Saccharomyces cerevisiae S288C: one gene and its partners. The protein of the gene in region 2 interacts with the protein of the main gene of each other region in a pairwise test. Each region holds a gene or a part of one and is shown on either strand. Other genes may lie near its edges. The genes, in order: UBP7, MYO5, BNR1 and SAP1.

Region 1 (5,638 bases), on a different chromosome or scaffold from region 2:
TGGGAACTTGAAAAAACTGTGAACTTCATCAAGACGTTTGGTGTCTAAATCGATCATGATAGTTAAGGGTGACAAAGATAACATTCACAAGAGTAATAATAATGGTAATGATGATAATAATAATAATGATAGTAATAACAATAATAATAATGGTGGTAATGGCAATGAAATCGCTATTATTACCTATTTTCCTTAATGGAAGAGTTAAAGTAAACTAAAAAAACTACAAAAATATATGAAGAAAAAAAAAAAAAGAGGTAATAGACTCTACTACTACAATTGATCTTCAAATTATGACCTTCCTAGTGTTTATATTCTATTTCCAATACATAATATAATCTATATAATCATTGTGTAGACTTCCGTTTTAATATCGTTTTAATTATCCCCTTTATCTCTAGTTTTATCATAAAATATAGAAACACTAAATAATATTCTTCAACGTCCTGGTGCATACGCAATACATATTTATGGTGCAAAAAAAAAAATGCAAAATTTTGCTAGTCATAAACCCTTTCATAAAACAATACGTAGACATCGCTACTTGAAATTTTCAAGTTTTTATCAGATCCATGTTTCCTATCTGCCTTGACAACCTCATCGTCGAAATAGTACCATTTAGAACGCCCAATATTCACATTGTGTTCAAGGTCTTTATTCACCAGTGACGTGTAATGGCCACTGATTAATGTGCCTGTATGGTTAACCACTCCAAATAGCTTATATTTCATAGTGTCATTGTTTTTCAATATAATGTTTAGTATCAATGGATATGTTACGACGGTGTTATTTTTCTTGGTCAAATCGTAATAAAATCTCGATAAATGGATGACTAAGATTTTTGGTAAAGTTACAAAATTTATCGTTTTCACTGTTGTCAATTTTTTGTTCTTGTAATCACTCGAGTTGTTACTATCATTACCACCAGTACTGAACGGTGTACTGGAACTGGACCTCTTCCCACTACCACCCAACATCCTGAAGGGTGATCTGGACCTTTCTCGTTCAAAGATTGTCGTATTATTATTATTGCTATTATGGCCCTCAGTAATACCGTCTCCAAAAAAGTCGAGATGACGACGCTTGGTTCCTGTATGTAATGTAAAAAACCGACTTTTTTTCTTTTTACTCTTAACAATGGATGGCTCATTCTCTAATGCAGACACAGATGTAGACACAGACGCCGTGGGGCCACAGCGTGGGCAATCCCATGCATTTTCACCAGAGAGTACCTCATCGCTTGTAAACATATTAATACAATCCTCTAACTTAACTCTTTTCTCAGTAGACCTACCAAGTTTACTCAACTTCATGGAACGTCTTGGTATAGCCAGTGATAAAACATAAAATGTGCTATAGTTGAAAGTAGTGTAACCGCACCTTTTACATTGTAAGCTGTTCTCCATTTGCCCTTGAAAAATGTCATCAATAGGAGATATACCATTACCAATGACATTTTTGTCAAACCAGTGCTTATATTCGTTGTTTGAAACCTTTAGGGCATCTGCATTATACAATAATAAATTCGGATAATCGTTCGCTACATGCTGTTGGTCGGAAAGTTCATCGTGTAACCTGTCTAAAAGTATCATTAGGAACTCTTGGGTATCCTGTTGGTCATCAGGAATTTTCAAATCGGGACGCAATTGATTGATAACTTTGAGAAATCCTGTTGGGACAACTGAGCAACCACCATTTAGATACATCTTGTTGAAGAGCATACTTAGTGAATTCGAAAGTTTAGGAGAATAATGAGATCCGTTGCTCCTTATTGGTTGCAGATAGCTCTTATATTTGGATGAAATGAAGAGTGTCCGGAATGTTTTCGCAGCGAATAGACATTGTATCATACTATTAATGTAACATGTATTGCCCAAATTTCTTAGTCCCGTGATGGACAACGAAACGTATACGTTTGGACTGCGTTCAATAGTTGGAATATTGTACGCCCTTTGCGGTTGTAATATTTGTTGGTCGTAATGCTGATGCTGGTGCTGTCTTTTTCTTTGAATAATTTCATTGGAGTTAAGTTGTTCCTTTTTGACATGCTGCTTTGCTGGTATTGGCGGCTTTCGAGAGATAGAACTGACTTGTGAATGAACCATTATCTTAGGGGGCAGAGGAGGTGGAATTTCTGGGGTTGTGGGCATTGATACAGGCGGTGGAGGTGGAGGACGTTTCCTTAACCTTATAGGCAGGTCAGGGGGCTTCCAGGAGGGAGGCTCAGGAACTTTTGTAGATGATTCCTTAGCGGAAAAAGAGTCCTGAGAATCCGGCTGCTGCTGCTGCTGCTGCTGCTCCTGTTGTAAGCGCGCCTTCTGTGAGTAAGGTCTGTACAAGTAATCTTCAATAGAGATATGATACTCCTGGGCATACGAATGCAGAGTTTTCTTCCATTTTTCGTACCCACCTAAGAGGGTAGTAGGTACAGTTGTTAAAGGAGTCTTCTGAGAAGTCAGCATCAAATAAAAAAAAATAAATGCATAATCAAAATTTATAGTCATGAAGGTCTTCACATCAGTATAGTAAACAATGTAATCAAATTTATTACGGTTTATAAAATTCTCATTCTCCTTCAGTAAATGTTCCAATATGTCATCCTTGTAGATAGGTGTGTTCGTCTGCTTGTCCCACAACAAGTTTGGATCCACATTCACTAAGTTCGGAGCCACAATGTGATTTATTGCAGATCTTTGTGGTATTCTCAAGTCGATGAGTAAAACCTTTTCACGTTCAACGCGATTCGATAAAATACTAAACAATTCTGGTGCTGTGATTATACTCTGCTTTTGTAAAATATCCAAACTCTGGATGAAGCCATCATTCTCAACGTTGAACAGATCATCATTGTCTTCCTTGAGGTTGCCGCTATCCACCATATAAACAGAATGGTAAGAATCCTTTCGATGAGTTACTGATCTATCTGCGGTTATTTCTCGAAATGGTGGGTTCAAAGATGCGAAACTAGTGTCATCCTCGTGGTATATGGAGGGTACATCTTCCAATAAAACAGATGGTCTCACTGGAACACTTGTCTTTCTTTCAGGCTCACGAAAAGCTGGCGTTGGTATCACTTCGGGCAATAAAGCCAGTTTCAATTGGTCGTTGGGCTCTAAGTTTGGTGCTGTCCAAACAGGTGAAGATTGTTCTGCGTCGTCTTCAGTAAACGTGCCTTTGAGGCCATGATCTTGCGGTGCCGCGGTGTCAAGTGATAGTGAAGCTACCTGACCTGAAAGATCGTCAGCTGGAACTGAAAATGCCCTCTTCTTGGTGATTCTGTGCTCAATACCGGCCCCGTGTTTAACCGATTCATCTAGGACCACACCGATTTCTTTCTTCACCATAAGCACAACATTGGTCATGTTCATTTCATTCTCATACATCTTTTTTAGATCTGTATAGATGCTGTAGGACTTGTTTCGTGTTTGGAACTGCAAAGATTGTGGAATAATTAAGAACACGTAGTAGCATCCAATGATAAACGCTGTCAGTGCATCGTTGGGCCTATCGTGATGGATTGAATCTAGATATAACTCGAATAGGTACTCTGTATGCTCCAGAAGGTCCAGCAGCTTCTCCAGTTTTAGCTGCGGATAGTAGTGCTTGATATCTTCGTGGTACAGGTCCTGGACCCTTCGCAGTAATTCATTTGAGTACTCAGGCGTGAACGGCGTTATATGTGGATGCATGGCCGTGCCCTTATCATCGTCTAGCATTTAAAGTTCTATGCGTAATCGATAGCGATAGCTCTTTAAGTTGCGGTTATTAATTTTGGCCCCCGGCTGGGTGCCGTTATACAAAATATTATCAACATATATAGAATATAAACGTACCTATTTCCTAGCGAAATACGTCGAGGAGCCACAAGTGGCAACAGAATAGTCGTATACAGACTCTCCCAAGTTCAAGTACCGCTTCATGTAGTTTCTCATAGTCTGATTGTCCAGAGTCTCCAGTTTAGGCGTCAAACCTGTATTGCGTTTAATCCCCGCGAGGCACGTTGATACCAAGACCAAATCTATGGATATGTGTACTAGTTTCCCTACCTAACCAATTTCTCTTGTTAGTATTACCGGATGCGTTGTTAGTAGCTCATTTGGGTACTTACTAATGTCATCTCTTTGCGTTTTGCTTGTTCTTGTTTTGATCATTGTGGAGAGAAAGAAAGCGCCTTCTTGTCATTTTAATCCCAGTTTTAAAACAGTTCGATCTTTCTCTCCGTACCAGTCCACGACATAAAAGTAAAAGATAAAACAGACTATACATGATGTTAAGACTAGTAACTAAAGGGTTGCCGAAAGTGACACCTTCTGCAGCTAAGGCTGTGCTAGTGCGTGGTTCCTTGCTGCACTCATTCTCTACCAGCGCTAGATTCAATAATAGTGTCGCTGAAGATGAGGCCAAGATCGTTTTGAAAGACAAGAACAGGCCATTGAGAATTGACAGAGAATTGCCTGACCCAACCACGGAGAGGAGAAAGCGAATAGCTGGATTTTTGTTGTTTTCTGTGGCCATTGGGTCCGCACTATCTTTGATCTTCAACTATGAAAAGACGGAGTCCCCCATTATCTCCAACACGCTGTATTATATAAGACGGTCTCCAGCAACTAAAAACATACTGGGTGAGAGCATAGAATTTGATGGTATCATCCCTTGGGTCTACGGTGAACTGAACTCTGTGAAGGGTAGGATTAACATTACGTTTTATATCAAGGGGGACAAAAACGTTACTGGAACCGTTAGACTGGTTGCCGATAGGAACACTCACGACGAAGAGTTTTTGATTCATGAATGGAGCGTCACTGCCGCTGGCCAAAAGATCGATTTGCTAGCTGAAAATACCAAGACACCAATTTAATAGCAAGTATGGTGCTATTTGTCTGTAAATATCCTTTATTATTATTTTATTTTTATCGTTATTACAAGTGGTCTGGGTATCTATACAAATGCAAAACTATGTAGGTACGTTTATATATCTATATGCATATATATTAGTGTGGCCGTAAGCTGTCAATAAATTCTCTCTTGTTGACAGTATAATTCGTAAAATCGTTTTCATATGGGTCATCCAGTTTTATTTCTTCGTGTAACGCAGTATTTTCTGTGCTCGATGACAAGTTTGACGTAGAAGCTGATCTCAAACTACTCGTTTCTTTGCGCGATAGCGTCAGTGGATACATAAAACTATAGGAAGGATCTCTGACCATCCCATAATTCACCTTTTCGCCGCTGAAAATGACGGGGACATTGGTATATGCAGTGCTCTGCTTTTTTGGACGCAAAGTCCCCATACTAGCGTTCAATTGCCTTCTGTATGCTGGTGTGTACCCTGCCTTGGCGGTTTTTTCTTGGCAGGGTTTAAGATCCTGGTTTGCTTCCTTTTCGTTTATCGTGGAAGCTTCACTTGAGCTGTTAATTTCGGCTTTAAAACCATCATATACCGACACTGCCACTTCTTCCATTACCATCTTCTCCAAATCAGCATCTCTAATCTCTTCTTTTTTGTAACGTCGTTGTAATTTACACCAAAATATCAGGGCTATTATTACGCCCACAGCAATTGGAATCCCAACTGCCGTTCCCACTGCCACAGACACATTGCCCATCTTTATTCAATAGTCTGTTTTGATGATTGAAA
Region 2 (5,952 bases):
CACTCCATTGGTGCAATACATATTCTCTGATAGCCAAACTGAAATAAATCGTATCTTGACGCGCTTAAGATCTGGTGACTGTGTTGTCGGTGATACAGTGATTCATGTAGGAATTACCGACGCTCCATTTGGAGGGATCGGTACTTCAGGTTATGGTAACTATGGTGGATATTATGGATTCAATACCTTTAGTCATGAAAGAACAATTTTTAAACAACCATATTGGAATGATTTTACCCTTTTTATGAGATACCCTCCAAATAGCGCACAAAAGGAAAAGCTCGTCCGTTTTGCGATGGAAAGAAAACCTTGGTTTGACAGAAATGGCAATAACAAGTGGGGGTTACGCCAATATTTTTCATTATCTGCCGCCGTTATTTTAATTAGTACCATTTACGCTCATTGTTCTTCCTGAACGTAATGTTTAAGGTTAATTAATTATTTGATGTATAAGTAACCTTTCGTTTAAAAATTTCATATGGGCGATAATATATCAATATTTATTAATTACAATTTACTCTATTTGCTCGTATAGAGTATATACTCGCTAAATACATTTTGATTACCAATCATCTTCCTCTTCATCTTCGTTAGCCTCCTCGTCATCACTCTCTAATCTCATTTTATTGGCCCTAGCAGCAAGCGCATTCGCCAAACCATCACCCAAACTTGCTTGGGCTGCAGCTGGAATAACGTTTGCAGAGGTGTTATCATGTTGTACAGAATTCAGAACGGGTTTAGGAACATCCCTGTTTTGAGGAGGAGTAGGGATATTATTATTTCCGGAATGTGGTTTCATGTAAGCTGTTGGCACCCAACCTTCCTTAGAGCCATCCAGAAGTTTCCCGAGAGACCAACCGCTTGGTTCTTCTCTTGTAATGTAAATTACGTCTCCTTTCTTTAAAGGTAACTCAGATGGTGATCCTGAACCAGGAAAATCGTAAGCCGCTTCAAACATGGGTTCTTTTGGCTTTGAAGAGGGTGGGGGTGGAGGAGGTGGTGGAGGGATATTTGCCTGTCTACCAGAGCCCATTGCGGCAGCAGCGGGTGTAGCAGCGGGTGTAGCACGAGTGGCAGCAGTAGGGGGAGAAGGACGGGCATTACTTTGGGATGCAGTGAGAGTGGAAGCAGGATTAGGAACAGATCTTCTTGTAGCAGCTTTGTTCTGCATTCCTGGTGGTGGAGGGGCAGGCTTTTTAGAATGCCTAGAAGCCGGGGCGGTGGGAACATGCTGGGCTGCAGCAATCGAAACTGGCCTCCTCGTTGCTTGCGAGGAACTAGCATGATATCCTGAAGAGATTGAACTCTTTTTTCTCGGTTTTTTGTGCACTTGAGAATTAGGTGGGTTACCACGACGAACTGATATTGTACTGGATTTATATATGTCGCCATATTTTGGTGCAGATTCATTGATTTGACATTTCACTGAATGCAACTTTCCAGGTTTCTTTTGGTACTCTATCGCCGAGCCTATTTTAATTTGAATTTTGTCGTTAAGCCTTTTCAGATGCGTTATGAGTTCTGTTTTGAAATATGTGTTGATTAAGGGGTCAGGTTGACCTGAGCTAGCCAACTTAATGGCGACCCAATCATCCTGTAAATTGGTTAAACTAACCGCTTGAATGTTTCGCACATCGATTTTATAATCCTGAGTATAGGTCATAGCATTTTGGACCAAAGTCTGACCAACAATGTACAATGTAGTTGGAGTTAATAGGAAAGTTTTTTTCAATCTTTGTGCAGAACGGCCAAATTTTGTATGCAAGGCCTCACCATGTATGGAAAAGATGACCTTCTCTTTAATGCTCACTTGTCTTTTGATATAAGCGCCCTTCGATTTGGACTCGTTGCATGATAGATAATCACCCATGAAGGCTCTGTAACCTAATAAGGACATAGACCTTCTTTCTTTTCTTCCACCCAAAACCTTCGTACCATAATCCCGGAGCTTCTCATACTTATTACCTTCCTTCCTCTCCCTGATGGTGCGCTGGATCTTAGTGGCCGCATCAATTCTTCTTTGCAAAAATCTCCTCCAAGCACGTTGGATTCTGGCAGCCATATTGTGCCAGTATCTATCTCTCATATGCTCCAAAGCAAATAATGTTTCAGGTGTTTTGATGAAAACACTTGTGACACCCAATTGGTACTCCTGCTGTGGGATAGAGGAATCTTGCAATATATACTTAACAGCATCTAAGGTATCACCTTGCCATGTATAGTCACCAGCGTAAGAACAGTGTGGAGATAATAAATAAAATCTTTCCACGAACTTCTCAAACACTTGTCTATATGCAAAACCTGCTCTTCTGATACGCACGTTTTCTTGCAGACCTAGATACTTAATCTGGTGTAGAACTTGCCGATCGTCATAATCGTTAGGAGATTTGGTTTCGTTTGGTTTAATTGTTCTGATATATGAAGGTTGTGCTTTTGATAAAGTTTCAACCAAATCATTTGCACTCTTTATAATTTTGTCGCCTGCTGTAGGTGGCCTTCTTTTTGATTCTCTGTCTACAGTATCCGGGAAAATGGTGGCTAAAAATGTATTGGTAGTGGTACCAATTAATTCTACCAGATCCTTTTGTAATTGATCCTTATTTTTATCTGTAATACCGTCAATATCGTATGTGACATCACCGGCATAATGCTTAATAACAAACTTGTTAGATCTCAAGTCAAAATGTGGATTTGTTGTGAACAAGTTCAAACGCTGAGCAAAAGCCTGATCAGCAGCATTTGAATCCGCGTGTGCAGTTGCAACAGAATCATTCATTGCTGCAAATATACCAGGTGGTCTTCTTGCCTCAATCAAATCACACACAACCTTGTTATCAAAGTATTTAATTGGGGTCCATTGGATTTTTTCTCTCTCGTAAGTTTCTTGCTCAGATTTCAATGTCAATTGAATAAAGATTTGTTGTAACTTTTCATTAACATAATTGATACAAATCTGCTCAAAAGAGTTATGTTCAAAAATTTCAAAGCCGTAAATATCAAGAATACCAATGGATTTTTCAGCGCCTGGAAAAGCCTGCAGAGATTTGTTAACCCTACTCACAATCCAGTCAAATAAGTTATTGTAAATAGCCTTTGCCAAAGCATCTCTAACCGCATCTGCTTGGACAATATTCAATGGAACATGATACACTGACCCTCTTTTCATACCATGATTGGTTTCCATAATTCTTTCCACAAGTGATTTAATCAGCAATTGGCTATCTATTTGTAACAAGTAAGCAACAAAATCGGTTACTGAGGTGTCCCTAACTTGCGCATTCCCCTCCTCATTTTCTATAAAGGAAACATTACCAATCCAAAGAATTGCAGCTAACATCCTGAAAATTTGGTCTTGTTCTTCTTGACCGAGACCAATAACTCTCATAGCTTTTAATGTCTCTTGATAATCTTGCAAATCATCAATTGTCTCAGCAGATATGCAACCCGCAGCAGCTGTGTACACATATTGTTCCGGTTTTTGGACCCCAAATGTTTGCCTATAAGCATCGGAAGCACCTTTCGTGAACTGATAGAATATATGGAAATTTCTTTCATTCTTAATTTGACTCACAACTCTCTGCTTCTCCAATAAATAGTTTGTGATATTACCAGCACATGGTTCAAACTGGTTATTGAATTTTATTTCTAGATATTTCCCATGTCTAGAAGAGTTGTTATTTCTTAGAGTCTTTGCACAGCCAAAAGATTCCAACAATGGATTAGTGGCTAAAACCATGTCTTTAATCTTTCCAATTGACTCCGTATGTGTGCTAGAAGCAGCCGCAATATATTGCATAATTCTTTTAGCTGCTTCAGTTTTACCGGCACCTGATTCACCTGAAATAATAACACACTGATTTTCATTATATGATTTCATGTTGTAGTACATAGACTCTGCAATTGCAAATACATGGGGTGGAACTTCCAATCTATTCTTACCTTTGTATTCATTCATAACAGCATCAGTATAGATTCCGAGGTCTCGGAATGGATTGACACTAATTAACACATGACCTATATAAGTGTAGATTGTAGCATTCAAAAATCTCTTCTTCAAGTTTTCATTTATGGCTTCGTCGGAGATTTTAGAAAGAAGCGTCAGATCAGACACACCAACTTCTTTCTTCTTCGAGGAATCAAAAGTAGCTTTCTTGATATTCGCAGAGCGTTTAGCTGGCTCCTGATGTACCTTTTTTCTAGCTCCTCTTTTTAAGATAGCCATTTCTATAAAGCGGTTAAATTCGTATTGGCCACTGTTCTTATGCTTTATTATAAACTATAACCTTTAAATACATAGTCCAGTTTGTATTTTCCAAGCTTGCAATTTTTGACGGCCCCTTTTCGAGAAATATTTTTGATGATTGACAAAACGAGAAAGAAGTCGTGTCCGACGAGTTAAAACACACCATTTGAATACATATGCTACGTATCCACTTTAGATTTATCAAATACTACCAACTCACTTGAATTGAACTTATTATTCATCTATGACTTAATTTTAGCCGTCATTAGTTTTTTAGAAAAAAATATATAAAGTATATACGAAAAAAATATACATGACTACCGATTTGGTAGAATGTCATATATAAGAAGCACGATTAAATAATAATAAAGTCTGCATTTTTTACTGAAAATGCTTTTGAAATAAATGTTTTTGAAATTCAGTGCTTACCGCCTGTACGCTTATGACGTAATTCAGTCTGTTGTCTTTCAACTTCTGGGTCAAAATTTATGAACTCGTCTAGACCGCTACCACCTGCCACCATTGGCAAAACAGGAACTTTTTTATCAACTTCCACTTCAAGCAAAACTGGGCCCTTGGTAGAAACGAATTCTTTCAACTTAGCGTCCAATTCCTCTTGCTTCTTGACTCTTAAACCTTTTAAACCCATAGCCTCCGCTAGTTTTATGAAATCAGGGTTCAATTGATGTGTGTGGGAATAACGATGTTCGTAGAACAGGGATTGCCATTGAGTAACCATACCTTGCTCTTCATTGTTCAAAATCAAAATCTTCACTGGAGTACCAGCTTGAACGGCAGAACTCAATTCCGTTAGAGTCATGTTAAAGGATGCGTCACCATCAATGTCAATAACCAAAGATTCTGGCTTTGCAACTTGAGCACCGATGGCGGCAGGGAGACCGTAACCCATCGTACCTAAACCACCTGATGTGATGAAAGTATGTGGATTTCTCCATGTCCAGTGTTGAGCAGCCCACATTTGATGTTGCCCCACACCCGTTGTAACAATGACATGTCTTCCTGTGTCGTTGGCAACCTTGGATAGTTTCTTTATAACCGTCTGTGGTTTAATTTTAGATCCTGGAGTCTCCTCCATATAAGCGTATGGGTATTCCTTCTTCCATTTATTTATTTGAGCAAACCATTCAGACCTCTCCTTAACTGGGAAAATCTTTGACATCATTTTGCCCAGATTGGTCGTAGCATCACCTTCCACTGCTATTTGAGTTTGAACAACCTTGTTTATGTTTTTTGGACTAACCTCGAAATGAATAATACCACCTCTACCCTCGGCAGCTGCACGACGAGCTTCTGGAGCGAATTTAGAAATATTACCAGTGACACGGTCGTCGAATCTAGCACCAACTGCAATTATCAAGTCGGCATTTTGCACTGCCAGGTTGGCAGTAGCACAACCGTGCATACCAAGCATATCCAATGATTTTGGATCTTCTTGGTCGAATGAACCTAAACCTTGTAAAGTAGTGGTGACAGGTATTTGAGCACGGTCACTTAATTCTTTTAGTAATCTTGGACCATCTGCATGGTTTAAAATACCAGCACCGACGTATAAGACAGGTTTCTTTGCCAAGTTGATCAAATCTGCTGCTTTATTGATACTTTGCATGACAAATTCATCTTGTGCGCGACTGGTTAATTGGTTTAGTGCGTTTGATGGAAGAGTTGTTTTTGTTGGAATTGGATTTCTT
Region 3 (6,374 bases), on a different chromosome or scaffold from region 2:
GGGTTTAAGATCCTGGTTTGCTTCCTTTTCGTTTATCGTGGAAGCTTCACTTGAGCTGTTAATTTCGGCTTTAAAACCATCATATACCGACACTGCCACTTCTTCCATTACCATCTTCTCCAAATCAGCATCTCTAATCTCTTCTTTTTTGTAACGTCGTTGTAATTTACACCAAAATATCAGGGCTATTATTACGCCCACAGCAATTGGAATCCCAACTGCCGTTCCCACTGCCACAGACACATTGCCCATCTTTATTCAATAGTCTGTTTTGATGATTGAAAAGTAGATTGTTTTGAGCTAAAAATTCGATGCTTTCTGTGCTTATTTTGAAATTTATTAATGAATCTGTCCATCTCCAAATCTTAGTTCTTAACTAGGAAATTTGTCAACACGACCACCGCCCGAAAAGGGAAAATATTTCCCTTTTGAGAAGCGATTGCGAATATTGTCCATTTCTTTATATAAGCTCCACAACTACATAAAATACTAAGTCTTCACTATATATTTTGAATATCGTTCAGCATAGCATGCGTTCTCTCTAGTAAAACGTGATCTTCATCCTTTCTCGTTTTTACATCTCCTTCATGTACGTTAATGGCTATTTCATTGAGTTTTGTACTCTTTCTTCTTCTTAGAGGTTCTGGATCCTTCTTTACTTCGCGTAATTTAGATATGAGTAGATCAACAGCATCCCTGTTTACTTTTTCACCATCGTTTTCATCACTTCCATTGCTTTTCTTATTACTGCTTGTCCTCATATCTAACAAGCTCTTCCTTTGTTCGTACACTCTTTCCATTTCCTCCTTTTCAATGTTTTCCTTGGCACATTTCTTAAACATGGCTAAAAATTCAATAAAGGGTTGGAAAAATTCGTTTTTACTCTCTTTATCTTTGGGATCTTCACCGTAATATTTCATCAGTTTATTCAAATCTATTAAAGTTAATTTACATTGACCAATCAATAATTCACTTTTTGTTTTGGCCCGATTAATCTTAAACTTGACCTTTTTAATAATTTGATCTCTGGGGTCTAAGTTCTCCTCTTTGGATAGCTTTCCTACTTGAAACTGAGTAACTAAATCCTCAATTTTTTTATGAAATTCATGACACTCTGATTCAACGTGTTCTAGTGAGATTTTACCTAAATCTTCAATGTTCTTCAAATCATCCACAAAACCGTATATATCAGGATATTTTATTCTTATGACTTTTTCAATAAAATGCAAAAATGATACATTTTGATCAATACTGGATCTGACAAAGGCAAGTTTAGTCAATGACTTCAATTTGATACCCTTAACAATTCTTTTATTCATATGATTGCCTATTTCCGTGATAATAAACATCAAACTTTTAAATTTAGGTGAACGATTTAAGTGTGAAATTGCATCATCAATTTTTTGTAACTTGAAAATCAAATCGTAATAATCTCTCTCGTATGTTGACAATGTCAGCAGACTCTTTGATCTTGCATTCCAATAAAATCTTAAATTGATACACAACTCCAAAAATATTCTGTCAGCTCTTTGTAAGTCACTTACTGCTTTACCATCCTTACCCTGTGAATATGGCTCGTACTTATTAAGCATACTTTTTGGTATATTTACTAACTCTTCTTTACAAAAAAATTTCAGTATGTTAACATTTTGGACAATGTCGTTATCACAGTTCAATACTTTCATAACAAATTCCATATCAGATAATTGGGAAAACATGTGTAAATTAATACCAAATTGCTGAGCCAAATCTCTTGATAAGAATGAAATTTTCTTCAGCTCATTGGAAGACTTGCCATTGTTTGAAGACAAGGCAATTGAGGATTCTGCGTTCCTTTTATTTGCAATCTTAGTCGGACTTTTCATCTTAAAAATATCTTCAATCTGAGAGAATATACCATCAGTTTGTAATTCTTTGATTGTTTCTTGGCGTTGAAACGTGTCTTCCCAAAGTGTGTCTTTGATATCCTCCACCTTATCCCAGTGGATTTGCTTCAATCGCTTTTCAGTTGGAGGTGGTTTTAAATCGGTTGTCGTTGGATTGATAGACACTGAGGAGGAAGAAAGAAGACCATTTGGTAAAGGTGGAGCTGGAGGAGTAACTAAATCGTGATTGGAGGGGCCTTTGTTCATCGACAAGGACTCGGGTAAAGGCGGTGGCGGTGGTGGTGGTGGAACGGCGCCACAAGTTTTAGTTTTAAATAGATCTGGAAGGGGTGGCGGTGCAGGTGCTGCAATACAGGAAACACCATCCGGTTTAGCTTCTGCTTCAGTCAAAAGAGACTGTGGAAGTGGAGGAGGGGGAGGTGGAGGAGGGGGCGGTGGAAGTTGAGGTAGTTTAACAACTTCAGGTACTAGTTGGATTCCATTATCAAGACTATCTGAGGAAAGTCGAGGGAAAAGTTTTGGTGAAGAAGAAACCGAAGACAACACGGGAGACGATTGGTAATTAGGTTGTGTTCCTAGGCTATTTGAAAATTCCAACTCTGAAAGTATCGAATTTAGAGAGACATTTTGCATATTAGTAATATTTTTCATAGAAGGGATATTAAAATTAATGGTTGACGTAGATCTTTGAAATAATGAGTCTTTTGATTTATCTTCGGATTCATTTTGGGACTCATTTTCGTTATTTGCATCAGTTAAATATGATGAAAGGGACGTAACTCTTTTACTTTTTAGTAGACTAGTTGAACGCTTGGGCAGAGAAATTTTTTGCTGCTGCTGTTGCTTTTTTGCTAAATTTTGGAAAATGATATTTCCATGACTATTATTTTTTATTATCGAGCCGGCAATACTCAAGTTGCTACTTGCCAATGAAGGTGGCTGGTCATATAACCTTTGATGCGTGGTAATTTGGTCTAGTCTTTTCTTGGTTGCCTTCAACTGCAGTTTCAGATTTTCAATTTCCTTGGTTTTCAGAGATATCAAAGATTCACTTTCATCTAGTTTTGCTATTAAATGATCTTTATCATGATTTTCTACTAAATTTAATTTTTCATTCAAATGAGAAATCTTAGCATTAAGATCATCAATTTCTGTGACCGCTCTTCTAGCAATTTCATCAGATTGTAGAGAATCCAACAATTTATTAACAGAATCTTGAAAAACATAATCCACATTTTCTGCGGACTCCAAGGTTTCATCAAAAGAAGGATTCGTTGACACTTGAAAGGAATCTATGAGATAAAACAGCAAAGAATTTATCAATTTTAATAGTTTAATAGATTCTGAGTATGGTTTTTGAGAGTCTAAGATTTTCCACAGCGATTGAATAATCTCGTTTATTGGTGCCTCTACGGGACTATCTTTTGCCTTCAATAACAGGCAATTTTCAAGACATAGAGGCTCGCTTTCTATTCTTGCGATATCTTTTGTTGGGTGAAGCGAATTCGTATCGTTGGTAGTTTTTATCATCGAGTCAAATATCGCAGATTCTTTGGATTTGAATTGTTTTATTTGTTCCATGATCACGACACTATTAGGATCATCTTTATAGGCCAGTTCTAAAAATGTGATAGTGTTATGTATATTATTCTTTTTCAAAAAATTCAAAATTTCTAGTGCAGTCTTGTTGTTGAAACCTTGCAGTATGGAGTTTATTAGCAGTAGGAAAGTTGTCGAATAGTCTATTTTTAATTGGTTCCAGTTCAAATAAAGGGATGAATGAATTGCAATATCATCCGCAAGGATTTTGTCAAACCATTCTAGCCAATCGGTGAATAATATGGAAAGCTGGTCCCATATCAACTCACAACCCGTGGAACCCTCAACATACGTTAATAATAAAAGTAACTCCATAGAAAGTAACTGACATTTCAAATTAGAATTTTGATCCGTCAGAAGCTCGGTGAACCAGCGAATTAAAGGCTCAGAATGTAGTGCTCTTATTCTCGCCAGTGGGTTGTTCATCAGTATTTTAAAGCACCGAAGATAAACAAATTGTAATTCCTTGGATATGAGTGGCAAAGTCTTTTCGATCAATGTCGTCAAGTAAATTTCATCCTTGAGAAAAAGTTGCAAAAAGCTTTGCTTTCGCAGGAATTTTTCTAGTTTATATAGAGCCTTCGATAACTTCATGCCACCTGTTGAAAGGTTTCTAACTAGGCCATCCAAAAAGTGTGCGTTTTCAGCTAGTTCATTAGTGGCCAAATGTGTAGAGTATGTCGTGCTCGAAGTCACTTTCTTTTTCCCCCAATGATTGGAACTACGGATTTTACATATCAATAACCATTTCCTTCGTAGAGAGATGTTTTGTAAATTCTTATAAGCAGCCCCCCAAAAAAAAGTTCCATCTTTTAAAAGCTCATCAAACATTCTTTCGACGAGTGATGCGTCCTGAGGCATGCACTTCGGATTAAAATCCATTTCCGATCCGTTCACTTCTTCGGAAACCATTGGTGACGAAGAAACGTCATTAGCTGAGAAATTCTTCTGTTTCATGTATATATGTGATCCTGTACCTTGTTTCTCTAACGCTACACCGACCAACTGCAAGCCAGCGGCAACCAGCCCATCGTTCAAATTCAATTCTTCCAATTTACGGGCTTCGCTGACCCTATCACGCGCGTGAAGTGACAGCGATCTGCGAGGGTAGCGGTACGTCTTCTTGTTCGGGGAAGAGTCCATCGCTGATGATTGTGCTATTTTTTTATCTGCTTTTGTGTCACGATCATCATCACTATGTAATCTTCAAAAGATCAAGAATTTGCTAGTTTTGAACCTATGCCACAAATAGCGAAAAAAGAAAAAAAACTTGACGCGTCAACATGAGGAGGGTAATGATGTGGTAGCGCCGTGTAAGGCGCTATCAAAGGGAAACGGGGATAATAGTATTAACACCGCAGCTTTTTTTTCCTTTCTCCCTCTATTGGTTTCAAATTTATTGGAGTTTTACTAGAAAGAAGAGATATAAATAGGGTATACTTTTGCATCTCAGTTCTATTGAAATCGAATGGTTATTTCTTGTGGCTCTGAGTACAGAGTGAATATAACACTACATAAAAGCAATGTCTCAAAGACTACAAAGTATCAAGGATCATTTGGTGGAGAGCGCCATGGGTAAGGGTGAATCGAAGAGGAAGAACTCGTTGCTGGAGAAAAGACCCGAAGATGTAGTTATTGTGGCTGCTAACAGGTCTGCCATCGGTAAAGGTTTTAAAGGTGCCTTCAAAGATGTAAACACAGACTACTTATTATACAACTTTCTCAATGAGTTCATCGGGAGGTTTCCGGAACCTTTGAGGGCTGATTTGAACTTAATCGAAGAAGTTGCCTGTGGAAATGTTCTCAATGTTGGAGCCGGTGCTACAGAACACAGGGCTGCATGCTTGGCAAGTGGGATTCCCTACTCGACGCCATTTGTCGCTTTAAACAGACAATGTTCTTCAGGTTTAACGGCGGTGAACGATATTGCCAACAAGATTAAGGTTGGGCAAATTGATATTGGTTTGGCGCTGGGAGTGGAATCAATGACCAATAACTACAAAAACGTCAATCCCTTGGGCATGATCTCCTCTGAAGAGCTGCAAAAAAACCGAGAAGCGAAGAAATGTCTAATACCAATGGGCATTACTAATGAGAATGTTGCCGCTAATTTCAAGATCAGTAGAAAGGATCAAGACGAGTTCGCTGCGAATTCATATCAAAAAGCTTACAAGGCGAAAAATGAGGGGCTTTTCGAAGATGAAATTTTACCTATAAAATTACCAGATGGCTCAATTTGCCAGTCGGACGAAGGGCCACGCCCTAACGTCACTGCGGAGTCGCTTTCAAGCATCAGGCCTGCCTTTATCAAAGACAGAGGAACCACAACTGCGGGCAATGCATCCCAGGTCTCCGATGGTGTGGCAGGTGTCTTGTTAGCCCGCAGGTCCGTAGCCAACCAGTTAAATCTGCCTGTGCTAGGTCGCTACATCGATTTTCAAACAGTGGGGGTTCCCCCTGAAATCATGGGTGTGGGCCCTGCATACGCCATACCAAAAGTCCTGGAAGCTACTGGCTTGCAAGTCCAAGATATCGATATTTTTGAAATAAATGAAGCATTCGCGGCCCAAGCATTATACTGCATCCATAAACTGGGCATCGATTTGAATAAAGTAAATCCAAGAGGTGGTGCAATCGCGTTAGGCCATCCCTTGGGTTGTACTGGCGCAAGGCAAGTAGCTACCATACTAAGAGAACTGAAAAAGGATCAAATCGGGGTTGTTAGTATGTGTATCGGTACTGGTATGGGTGCCGCCGCCATCTTTATTAAAGAATAGTTTTAATACTTGATAATAGTTAATATTCTCCCTTTTTATTATGCTCATATTTATATGGTTTTGTAAAAGCTATTACGTAGTTTATCAATTTGTTTATAATTTTCCATTTTCA
Region 4 (4,875 bases), on a different chromosome or scaffold from region 2:
CTGCCTCACGTTGACCCACCACAATTTCAAAGACTAAACACTGAAAATGGCTCGTTAATTGCCCTGTCGAAAAATACTATATCGAACTTCATAGAACTGTATCCTATCGATCTGAGTACTGAACGCACTGCAGGCAGTAGCAGTTCACAGATGACAAAGTGGTTCGTACTGATGGATTACAAGGAAAAGTACGATATTGACGATCAAGGATGGTGTTATAGCTGGAATTTCAATAACTCTAGGTGGAAATCGAAAAATGGCTTGGTGAGAAGAAGGGTCTGGGTAAGACTACCTACGACCAGTCATGGATTAGATTAGTAATAGTTTACGCTAATATTAAATTGTTTAACAAACTAAGTAGTCAAAAAAAAGAAAAAAAAAAAAAAAAAAAAGAAAAGGTGACATTATGCAGAACATATTTTATCGATCCGCTTATGTGCACACAGTTTGTCCAGCTAGGCTAGAATATTATTTATTATTACCATTATTATTATATTATTATTATTATTATCATCATCATGAACCTGATGATCCGAATTGTGAAGCCCACTTTTCGTACTTCACTAATCCGTCCTGGGATACAGAGGGCTTGATATACACTAAACTGTTCTTAAAATCCACAAGGCCTATGGGTCTTATCATCTCCCTCTCTGTTTCTAATAACTTATCACCCAGATCTCGTAGTGGGCCCATGGCAGCATCCTTCGCTAAAGACGTTATATCACTTCCTGAATAGCCCTCAGTAATCTTTACCAGTTCATCAAAATCTGATTCGGTTAACGTGTGCTTTTGATGGGAAAGAAGCTTCTTAAATTGAACGTGTCTGGTCTGGTCCTCTGGTAATGGGATATATTGTCTTCTCACAAATCTTCTCCTTGCAGCCTCATCAATAGACCATGGTAAGTTTGTCGCGGCAAGTACCAGTACCCTTGTATCATCTTCGTCGCCATTGGTGTCAGAATTGTTAGTGTTACTTTTGTTTGAACCAGCCGCTGCGCTGGACAAGGATGACCACTGAACAAGAAATTCATTCTTTATCCTTCGGCTTGACTCATTTTCATTTTCGTTATTCCTACTACCCATGATAGAGTCAATTTCATCAACAAATATTATAGAAGGTGACAATTTTTTGGCAATTGCAAATAGTGCCCTCACTAATTTTTCACTTTCACCCAAGTATTTAGATGTCAAACTGGAAGCACTAATAGAGAAAAAGGTGGAGTGCGACTCTGTAGCTACAGCTCTCGCTAGCATTGTTTTACCTGTACCTGGTGGTCCAAATAAGAGCATCCCCCTGACTGGTTCACGTAACCCCCTGAATAAGTCTGGTCTCAAAAACGGATAGACAACTGCTTCCTTCAAAGAATATTTTGCACTTTCTAAACCAGCAATATCATCCCAATGAACTTCATCTCCGTGCACTACGATTTCGGCAAAAATTTGCTTTGCAGCTTGCCTATCTACACCTTGTAAACTATCAATAATTTCATCTTCTAAAATCTCCCTCAGGACTTTCTTGTCTATTTCAGGCTCTTCTCTTTGCTCATTTAGGGAAGTGGCATGTTCAGTGGCATCTTCTGTTCCAACATCTTCTATTTTTGGAGAACCGATTTTTTTTTGTGCTGGTATTTTTCGATTCGTTTTACTCATAGACGTGGTTTGATTTTTCGATGGCTTCTTATTCTGGGATGCACCATGCGAGTATGGTTTTGAGTTACTTACAGGTCTGGAAGGATGGCTACTCGTTTTCTTCGAACTGGAATTTGGGACTTTCGCCGTTTTGGATTTCAAAATGGGGTGACTCTTCTTCGTAGTGTTTAATGCGGGGTTACTCGCAACCTTTTTGCTGTTCAGAACTCTCTTAGCAGCCATTGCAGCCGTTTTGGGTTTTTGAATTACTGAATTTGGAACAGTCAGAGAAGAGGTCGGAGACGATGCATTGGATTTGATGATTGGTTTTGTATTACTTTTTGATCTTGTAATAAATGTTGGCGTTGATTTAGTGATAAGAGTGGGCGTTGATTTGGTACCCTTTAAGTATGGTACGTGATTATTCTTCATTAATTTTGATATTTGAGGATTCCTAATCTTTGATGAATCCATAGTAGTAGAAGTTTCTAAACTATGTGGCTTTAGAGCGCCAGTGCTGGACGCTCTATCGACATTTAATAAAGGAGGTGGAGGTAATGAAGGAAGAGCAGGGGCGGTAGTCGGCAGGGACTGTATGCATGATCCGGGAACATTTTCTGAAGAACTTACACTCTTATTACTGGACGTAGAAGAAGTAACAGACAAGTCAGACATTTGCTGTTGAATTGCTTCTAACGTTTTTATACGTCGTCTTTCCTCTTTTTCTTCTTCTTCTTCTTCTACGTCGACTTCGGAGAAATTATCATAGTAATCGGACACATCAAACTCGAAACCATCACTTTCTTCTTCATCAAAAACGTTGTGTCCTTTTAAAATGCCGACATCGTGATCATCCTCGTCATTAGTCAAATCTATCAATATTGGCTCTGAGATATATTTATCTGAGTACAGTTCAGTTTCCTTCTTAAGTGGAGGATCATTGTGCTCAATAGGGTTCTTGTGCTGTCTGCTTGCATTGTTGGATAAAGGCTTAGAAGGTACAAAATTTACTCTAATGTTCTCCGCATCTTCTCCGCGTTTTATCGATGTGCTGTTACCATATGATGATAGTGAGGGGTTGGAGTATGCGGTTTTATAGCCGCATGCATTTCTATTTCTTAATGTTTTCATCATTCTTCCGGGAACCATTTGGAATACAGGAGGTGGTTCAGTAGACCTTGTGAAAGATGAGCTATGATTAGTGTATGTTTTGGATGACGGCATATCATTCCTGGGAGCAGGCTCTTCTCGGACCAATTTTTTGACTCTTTTCAAATGCATAACGCTCTTGTGGTACAATTCTCGAATACCGTTCTGTAAACTAACTTCATCTTTCGTGTATGATTGAGTATTTGGGTAGTTATGCTCTATCAATGTCTGTTTGAATAGTACATCAGTGGTAAGCGCTTTCCATCCTTGCAATGCTTCTTTATATCGTTTTTTCTCTTCTAGGTTCAAGTAATATATTGTCTCATTGGCAATTCTACTGTAAAGTTCTGTAAAGTCGGTTAACGGTTGTTGAGGTCTTCTCCGTATCTTGGTTAATCTCGTTAAAATATGATGGCTTCTTTGTGAATCCATAGTGTCACAGTGCGATATAATCAATCCTGGTAAAACCGCACGAGTGAAAGGGAAAGAAAAATTGCGTTTGTTAGCTGCAATAAATGTAAAAAGACTATATTAAAAAAAGAACTGCAGCCTTTATTATTACCAATATATTTGATAAGAAAGTATATCGGACGCGTATTGTAGTTCTTGGGGAGCCGGTTGCTGTTGCTTCAGCCTCTTATGACCGTGAATCAAGAATTTTTATTATTCTTGATTTCAATTTTCTCCGCGAATCTCGGCTAAGATGCTTGGGTTGCCAGTGTTAATTCCATATATATACTGAATAATAGAAAATAAGTTAAAACATAAGTGCTGAAGACTTGAAAGGTTGGTGTGAGAAAACCCGTATGCCTGTGATATGTCTAGAATACATAGGGTTTTTTTTCTTCGCTTTGTAATTGATTGCGCTATATATGAAAAATATACATGAGGCGTTATTAACTTGCTGAGCTTATCTGGCCACAGTATGTTTTTTGTGTTCCTTCTCCTGCTCACCTAGGATTAGCTCTTCAAAAACTCTAGCTTCTTCAGCTTCTTCTGGTGACCTTCTAGCACTGGCAAACTTGTGGGCAATAAACAGCATTGCTTTTGCCTTTGCAATACGTTCCTTGGAAGGGACCTTTTTATCGTTTAGAATCTTATTGCAAACGTCTTTTAGTTTTCTTTCCAGTTCAAATTTCGACATAGCCCACATGACACCAAGTGCCTTACCAGCCATTGTGGACTCAAATTTGGCACGTTCATATTGGTCTAGTTCGTCAGTATTGACTTCACTCATTTTTTCCATGGCTTTTTGAGCTTCTAAGCCTGTAGACAATAAATTGTATGCTGATTTAACAGATCTAGCATTGTCGCGTGTACCAGTGAATATTTTAGAAATTCCGTAAGTCTTCTTGGACATGATAAAATTATTCGCTTTTGTCTTGTAAACCCTGGCCAATAAATACAATAACTCTAGACCAAAACTTTCTAATTTCAAATCCTCGATTTCTTGATCTAGTTTTCGCGTAAATTCCTCCAAGTTATTGGACTTCACAGCAATTAAGTACCTAGAGATTTTTTCGTTCAGTTTTTCTGCCAACTCGTCGACTTGTTTCATCATATCTTCCCGTCTTTTTTTCTCCATTTCCATTAGCTTCTCTCTTTGCTCCTTCGATAATTTATCTTTTTTCAAAGATTCAGCTTTATTAGTGTCATGCTTAACCATTCCACCATCAGTGCTCTCATCTGCTTTTTCGGTTTCAGTGGCTGCTGTACCCTCCTCATCTTCCTTTCCAAACATTTCTGTTGCCTCGTTTAGCTCTTTGAACAAAGAAAATTCTCCAATCCAATCTTTGAAGCCATCACCACCGAATATTGCTGTAAAGTATTCAGAAGCATCTTCAAATCCTTGCTGAGGAACAGCATCCTCCTTACCAAACTGGTCATACTTGGAACGAAGCCCTGGATCACTTAAGACTTGGTAGGCCTCGCCTACGGCTTGAAACTTTGCTTGAGCATCTGGGTCATCAGGATGCTTGTCCGGATGTGTTTCCATAGCCTTTCTACGATAGGCCTTTTTGATTTCAGTGGGCGTGGCCTCAGGCTTGATGCCCAAAATATCATAATACTCCGTCTCCTTTACCATATTCCCTCTTT

The links.
Region 1: the proteins of MYO5 (region 2) and UBP7 interact in binary tests that used the Saccharomyces cerevisiae proteins (3 or more experiments, as listed by UniProt).
Region 3: the proteins of MYO5 (region 2) and BNR1 interact in binary tests that used the Saccharomyces cerevisiae proteins (3 or more experiments, as listed by UniProt).
Region 4: the proteins of MYO5 (region 2) and SAP1 interact in binary tests that used the Saccharomyces cerevisiae proteins (3 or more experiments, as listed by UniProt).

Annotation. Positions count from the first base shown.
Region 1 is NC_001141.2:46,169-51,806, reverse strand, and holds UBP7 (ubiquitin-specific protease UBP7), read right to left. Parts: upstream 3,717-5,638; coding exon 501-3,716; downstream 1-500. Other genes in the region: GUT2 (glycerol-3-phosphate dehydrogenase), read left to right, coding at 1-48; ATG44 (mitofissin), read right to left, coding at 3,834-4,046, 4,109-4,117; COA1 (Coa1p), read left to right, coding at 4,265-4,858; AIM20 (Aim20p), read right to left, coding at 4,992-5,606. UniProt on the Saccharomyces cerevisiae protein: Involved in the sorting of ubiquitinated cargo proteins at the multivesicular body (MVB).
Region 2 is NC_001145.3:484,857-490,808, reverse strand, and holds MYO5 (myosin 5), read right to left. Parts: upstream 4,223-5,952; coding exon 563-4,222; downstream 1-562. Other genes in the region: HFD1 (hexadecenal dehydrogenase), read left to right, coding at 1-415; ILV2 (acetolactate synthase catalytic subunit), read right to left, coding at 4,662-5,952. UniProt on the Saccharomyces cerevisiae protein: One of two redundant type-I myosins implicated in the organization of the actin cytoskeleton. Required for proper actin cytoskeleton polarization and for the internalization step in endocytosis.
Region 3 is NC_001141.2:40,079-46,452, reverse strand, and holds BNR1 (formin BNR1), read right to left. Parts: upstream 4,629-6,374; coding exon 501-4,628; downstream 1-500. Other genes in the region: AIM20 (Aim20p), read right to left, coding at 1-252; POT1 (acetyl-CoA C-acyltransferase), read left to right, coding at 5,009-6,262; SMU2 (Smu2p), read right to left, coding at 6,313-6,374. UniProt on the Saccharomyces cerevisiae protein: May organize microtubules by mediating spindle positioning and movement in the budding process. Potential target of the RHO family members.
Region 4 is NC_001137.3:243,294-248,168, forward strand, and holds SAP1 (putative AAA family ATPase SAP1), read right to left. Parts: upstream 3,211-4,875; coding exon 517-3,210; downstream 1-516. Other genes in the region: SPO73 (Spo73p), read left to right, coding at 1-318; CAJ1 (Caj1p), read right to left, coding at 3,689-4,864.